Linked DNA regions of Nothobranchius furzeri. The protein of the gene in region 1 purifies or fractionates together with the protein of each later gene. This does not show direct contact. Links are inferred from orthologs where the notes say so. Each region holds a gene or a part of one and is shown in the gene's direction. Other genes may lie near its edges. The genes, in order: ftsj1 and wdr6.

Region 1 (3,237 bases):
GAGAGTTTGAGCCGAGCTGGAGCTCACTCGCTACCTGCAGGAGGAACGCATCCACCCTAAAGAAACCCCCCTGACATGGTGGAGCAACAACCGGGAGAGATTCCCTTTGCTCGCCAGAGTCGCACGCAGGTACGTGTGCGTTAGTGCAACGAGCGCACCATCCAAGAGGGTTTTCAGTGTTGCTGGAAATGTTGCCACCCCTCTCAGATCCTCTCTCAAACCGTATAAGGTTAACATGCTGGTTTTCCTTGTAGGTAACAAGGACGTGACCGAGCTATAAATCACCGTCATTCGTGTGTGTGTGAAAGTGAAATGATAGTGCGCCCCAACCCCCCGCCCCGCGCGCGCCCGGTACATGTAATTTTTTATGCTTGATTTTAAACAACTAAACAAAATGGGGACTTGTTTCTTATTTGTTAGATGCTGCAGCCAAATTTGCATTTAAAAGTTTGACCTCCTGAATTTTGTTGTTTTTAAGTTCAGTCGGACTCCGACTGTCGGACAAACAAACGTTACTGCGATCTGTGTTGTTACTGCCCTTTGATCTGCATTCAGTAAAGTGTTATAAAAGAAGGCACGGCAATTTTTAACCTTTTTTAAATGTGTAAACATTATGTTTAGATAGTGCTGCAATAAAAAAAGGGCTGCAATAATATCGCACACCGCAATATTAAGCCACCCTGAATCACCGCAGGAGGAATTCCTCAACCGCGACAGCCCTAGTTTCAGCTTTATTTACTGTTGTAGCGAGTAGCAGCTACGACGGGGTTACACACACCCGATCAGATCAGATCAGCCGTCACGCAGACGTGCTCGTCCCGCCGCACCGCCACAAATGTGTTTGAACATCAGATTCTTATCTTCTCAGGTTTTTGTCCCAAGTCTGAAGCTGAGCCCCAACGCAGACCAGTACTTCTCTGGGCTGCTTCCAGTCTAGACTGGAAGTTATGGGGAAACCGTTCAAATATCCCACGAGAATCCGTTTTGCAACATGGTTTCTGTTTGGTTACCGTGGGAGATGTTTTTAGTTCTGCTTTAGTTTTTCTGTTGCATGAAGGCCAGATCCGATTTTTACATAATAACTTGTAACCTAATAGAGAGACGACCCGATTACACCGGCGCTTCCTCGTCCTTGTAGCGGTGTTTGCTTTTGTCCTGTGACTCATGTCATGTTTCCTCTCAGGTGTCAACGGCTCAGGAGATCATACGCCACTTTGAGGGGCAGCCAGCAGACCTGGTGGTGTGTGATGGAGCTCCAGACGGTGAGCTCCACCGTGTCCCACCTCTTCTCTTTAGATTTTGGGGTCTGTCCTCATTGTCCTGTTTGCTGTTTGTAGTAACGGGGCTTCACGACGTGGACGAGTACATCCAAGCTCAGCTCCTGCTGGCCGTGAGTACTTTTGAGTCCAAACAAGTTCCTCCGTGGGGACGAAAAAAACATATTGTATGAGTGTTCAGGTGTTTGTGGTCACCTGTCAGGTGTTTAGTTACTCCTGGCTGACAGCTGCTTCTTCTCAGGCTCTAAACATCACCACCCATGTCCTGAAGCCTGGAGGGACGTTTGTAGCCAAGGTGAGACCAGCTTGCAGCTCTCAGTGTTCATTCCTCCGTTATCCAGGGAAACGATTTCACAAGTACACGAGCAACAGGAAATTAGACAGTAAGCCGTGCTTTTTTGTTGATTGGTCGTGTCTGCTGTCTGACTTGCATGGCTCAGATCTTCCGAGGTAAAGATGTGACGCTACTGTACTCTCAGCTGAAGATCTTCTTCAGCACAGTGACCTGTTCTAAGCCTCGTAGCAGCAGAAACTCCAGCATTGGTGAGACACACACACACACACACACACACACACACACACACACACACACACACACACACACACACACACACACACACACACACACACACACACACACACACCATGTATTTTCTACTCCATGTGTGTTTGTGTTTGCAGAGGCGTTTGTTGTTTGTCAGAATTACTGTCCCCCTGAGGGTTATGTCCCCAACATGTCCAACCCCCTGCTGGACCAGACTTATGGTAACTATAATGATTCTAACAGGCTGCAGTTGGCCTTCTCACTCGGATTTTCAGTTGGGTTGATACCTCAGCTATGAATGATCGGGTATTTTGTTCACACTGACTTCTGGCTGCTGTCCTTGTAGATGTTGACTTTAACCAGCTGGAGGGTCCAAACCGTGTTATTGTTCCGTTCTTGGCATGTGGTGATCTGAGCGCCTTCGACTCTGACAGAACCTACTCCCTGCAGGTGAGAAGACTCGCTGACAGAGACGACCCCTCTTACGTGATTAATCTTTGACCCCTCATTTAGTGCAAAAGCAGCCTCCAGAAGAAGATCCAGAGACGGTTTGTCCACAAATACACGAGAAAATGACTGAACTAGGGTTAGGTGGTTTGCATCATTTTCCCCACCGCTAGTCGTCAGTCCAATAAATGACATGGGGCGAGTAATTCATACATGTGAAGACCAACCACACATTTTCTTTTTTCATGGAGCACAAATGTCTGCTGGAAGAAAAATTGAGATTTTTCTTGTTTAACTTTGTATTTGTTGTTTGTTGAGTGACGTATAAACGGTTCGTATTAAACAAGGTTAAAGTGTTAAAAAAGAAGCCTCGTCTTTGTTCCCCTGTGGTGCTCACTACCGGTCCTGGTCAGACACGTGACTTGCATGTCAACCACACCCCTTCAGCACCATTTTAGGTGTATGACTCAAGCTTGGTTTATGCTTGACACATTCACTTTCCGCGCGGTGATGCGGCTCGCGGATGGAACGCGCTTCACAACTCGCAGCGTTTATGGTTCGTGCGGCTTGTCTCTGCGGTGAGCCAATATTCTCCCAAACTGTAGGGGGCAGCATGGAGCTCTACGGCAAGCATCCAACACTACACCATAGTAGAAGTAGAAATTACTGTTTACAACATGGCATTTCAGCATTTTTAACAGCGTCCTCGTCTTTTCCGACAGTGCGAGCTATTTCTCTCCAAGAGTTATTAACCACGTGTTGATCACGGTGATCTCTGAGAGCTGAATCATACAAATGTCTATATTTACGAACCTCTGCCATACTAGTTCTTGCCGGTCCGCCATGTTTTTCCACGTCCGTCCGTCCGCGTGGTTAGAAATTTTCCGAGGTGCGCGTTGCGGAAATTCTGGGCCGTGCAGAGACGTGGTGGAGGGGCGTGGTTGTTAAAATGACGCAACTTTTCCGCGC
Region 2 (3,530 bases), on another chromosome or scaffold:
CTCTTGTTTTTATGCAGCTGAAATTATCAACGTGTTTCTGTTATTTACCTACACATGTCGTTTTTTGCTGTTTTCCCAGGTTGTTTGCAGTCTGCGAAGGTAAAAACCAAATTGACTTGTTGTGGGAGACGTTTCACCACCAGCGCTGTGTGCTCAGTGTCGCTACCTGCAGCCTGGAAGATGAAAAGGGCAACAGGTGAGCCTCTTAGAATGAATGCAACTAAAATGTGGTCATTTGTTTATTTGAATTTAGCTCTTTTTTGATTATTTTAGCAGTTCTTCCTGAATAGCAATCATTACTGTTGTCTCTCCCAGGTGTAAACTGCTGTTCAGCGCTGCTACAGATGGGAAAATCGCTGTGTGGCATTTGACTGAAGCTCATTTCTTATCCATTGATAATTCAAGTGGTGCTCCAACCCCACCAATCCCCTGCCTCGACATTCCCGCCCACCAGAGCGGCATCAACTCATTGGTTGTTTGGGTAGAGAAGCGGGGACGACAAGAGGGCGGTTGCCTAGTAACTGTTGCAAGTGGAGGAGATGATGGGCAGCTGACAGTGTCTATGATTAGGGTGCAATACCCAGAAGATTGGAAGACTAGTGGTAACAGAGGATCTTTACAGATTTCTAATGCTGACATGTTCCCACAGACAAAGGTTTGGTCTCCTAATCAGATTCGGGTTCACCTGCACTCTCAGTCCCACGTCCCGCTGGCCCACGCTGCCCCTCTCACTGCCCTGAAGCTCCTCAGCCCTGGATGTCTGGTTTCTACCTCCTCAGATCAGAGGGTCTGTCTGTGGAGGGTCAGCGGTACCAGCATCACCCACCGTGGGGCGCTGTGCTCCCATGTTGCTGATACTGCAGACCTGGCAGTGTGGGAAGAGGAGGAAGGAAAATGTGAGGAGAAACCTGACCCAGTTTGGGAAAACAGCGATGGAAAATGCTTTGAGACTAGCGGTGATCAAACGGGGAATGACGCCGGCGGGAAAACTGGTTCAAAGTCTTCCTGTGAGAGCTGCAAAAAGGGACAGAGGGTGGGATGGGTTCTGGCTTGTGGCCAGGGCTTCCAACTTCTAAAAATCGAGACTACAGTAATGGAGGCTGAGGTGTGCGAAGAGAAACTATCCAGTTAATGTGACTTTACAGAAATAACCAAACTACGTGGAATCCTTTTGAATATATCCATTTGTGTATTGGATGAAATAGTTTTTAAATGAAGTTAATTTATTTATGAGTTGTGAATGCGTTTTTACGAGGATAATACTTGTAACACCTTGTGACACCTATAAGTGACGTTATGCAGTTTGCTGGGTTCCTTATATAGGAAACATTATTTCTGATTGGCTTAATGACCTGACCTGAATTGGAATGTTTATTATGTGAAGAGCCTTGAGATGACTTGTCGTGATTTGGCGCTATATAAATAAACTTGAATTTAATTGAACACACACAAAAGTCCTAATACTAACATCTGGCTAAAAAATAAGTTAATAATCTTATTTTTATCCCACTAATCACCTGTTTAATTTTCTGAAAGGAACATTTATTTCCAGCAGCGTGGAAAAAAATTAGACATGATTTTTTTCTAAAACCAGTTAACACCTGCAGAAAGCATTTAGTGCTCAAAGATTCAAACTCTTATTGCTGTTCTGTAAGAATATAAAACATCTTCTAACTCAAGTTTAATTTGCATTTTTGCCATTTAAAACTATTCATATATCCACTTTGGGAATCTGGAGCCAAATCTTGCTCCTTAAAAGATGCAGAGTCTGTGCTTGAAACTGTTTAACTTGTGTGTGTGTGCGTGTGTGTGTGTGCGTGCGTGCGTGCGTGTGTGTGTGTGTGTTATGGGCTCAAACAGTTTGCACCTGTTTCCATCTGAGGAGAAAAAGCAAGTTGCCATTTGTAAATCATTAAAAGAATTTGGGTTGAAGGTATTCAGAAAATGGCTGCACAGTGGAGTTGAGCTGTTGCCTTGCAGCAAGAAGGTCCTGGGTTCGCTTCCCGGCCTGGGATCTTTCTGCATGGAGTTTGCATGTTCTCCCTGTGCATGCGTGGGTTCTCTCCGGGTACTCCGGCTTCCTCCCACAGTCCAAAAGCATGACTGTTAGGTTAATTGGCCTGTCTTAATTGTCTTTAGGTGTGTGTGTGTGTGTGTTTGATTGTCCTGTGTGTGTCTGTGTTGCCCTGCGATGGACTGGCTCTCTGTCCAGGGTGTACCCCGCCTGATTGCCCGTTGACCGCTGGAGATAGGCGCCACTACGTGGACAAAACGGGTTCAGACGATAGATGGATGGATGGTATTCAGAAAATCCTGAAATGATTTTCATTGCTCAAACATACCACTTCAACACATGATCAAGAATATTTTTCAACATTCCGCTGTTTTTTAACACAAGTAGATTTGTCAGAATCTGTTGGGGTTTCTTTTTTAAAGATCTTCAGCACATTCTGGAAGTAAAGAAAGGAAAAGCTTCCACACGGAGGTGTTATCTGGTTGTGTCCGAGCAGGTATGCTCAGGTGACCCTTCACAAAACCTGACCTCAGCATCTCTTAGAATCTGGGAACTGTTCAGCACCGAGAGTAAAAGGTTAGCCAGTATCAACATCTGATATTATTGCTGCCAAAGAATTTACAATTTCTATAAAAACGTGCTTCTTTGTTTTGTTTGCAAAGATGAAAATGGAGAAAAGTGTGACTAAATAAACACTGCCCCCTTTCTGTTTGGATGTTTTTTTCCAGAATCGCCACTTTTCTCATTTAAAGCACGCCAATCTTTTCTGCCAGGATCATGGGCTGTGCAGAAAATGACTGATAAAGCACCCAAAGTTCAAATGCAAAGTGAAAGTCTGCAGAACTACTGTACAAAAAGTATAAAAGATTACAAGAAAAGTCTGACTGCTTGGAGGCAAAGTGAAAAGAACCGTAGCAATGTTGCTCTAACATGATGTGTGTGTGTTTACTGGGGGTGGAGGGCTGCCGATAACCATTAATATTTTAATATTTAACTCATCTCATGTTACTTTTTGTCAAGTGCCCATCTCACTAACTGCAACCGCAATGAAATTAGAGAAAGAAACAAAAAGAGATGGTGGGAAACGTATGAGTGACAGATGAAACAGGGCCAAGTGGTTGTTGAAGAGGTGGAACCTGAAGACCAAACTAATGAAAGCTCCCAGGATCTTGTTTCCTCCGAGTCCTTTGTGCCCTTCGCTGTCAGATATAAAGAGAAGAAGGGATGACAGAAAACAGAGGAGGTAGAAGTGTTGATTAAATGAGGGTGATGGATACGGAGAAGGTAAGAAGTGCTTGCTGGGTTTAAACAGACCGTTTTGGAAGGTGCAATGGAAGATGTTTTCCAGTGACTCAGTTTTTTTCTGTTCTGAATTTTACTTTTAAAGGAGCATGTGGAGAGAAGGAATAACATATGGGACACATCACCATCTGTAGTGATGAGGCGCTAGTAGGAAAATCGCTCCTGCATTGTTTTGACGACTCAAGTGCTAACGTGTAACTACTAAGGATGTTTT

What was found.
Region 2: the proteins of ftsj1 (region 1) and wdr6 purify together in Homo sapiens (affinity purification with mass spectrometry; 3 studies listed by BioGRID and IntAct, with this or other methods). This does not show direct contact. The link is inferred for Nothobranchius furzeri from reciprocal best matches to the Homo sapiens genes FTSJ1 and WDR6.

Annotation. Positions count from the first base shown.
Region 1 is NC_091754.1:42,118,320-42,121,556, forward strand, and holds part of ftsj1 (tRNA (cytidine(32)/guanosine(34)-2'-O)-methyltransferase), read left to right. Parts: intron 1-1,183; coding exon 1,184-1,262; intron 1,263-1,337; coding exon 1,338-1,390; intron 1,391-1,518; coding exon 1,519-1,572; intron 1,573-1,717; coding exon 1,718-1,820; intron 1,821-1,958; coding exon 1,959-2,042; intron 2,043-2,167; coding exon 2,168-2,271; intron 2,272-3,237. UniProt on the Homo sapiens protein: Methylates the 2'-O-ribose of nucleotides at positions 32 and 34 of the tRNA anticodon loop of substrate tRNAs. Requisite for faithful cytoplasmic translation.
Region 2 is NC_091755.1:33,771,334-33,774,863, reverse strand, and holds the end of wdr6 (tRNA (34-2'-O)-methyltransferase regulator WDR6), read left to right. Parts: intron 1-79; coding exon 80-196; intron 197-315; coding exon 316-1,132; 3' UTR 1,133-2,721; downstream 2,722-3,530. UniProt on the Homo sapiens protein: Together with methyltransferase FTSJ1, methylates the 2'-O-ribose of nucleotides at position 34 of the tRNA anticodon loop of substrate tRNAs. Required for the correct positioning of the substrate tRNA for methylation.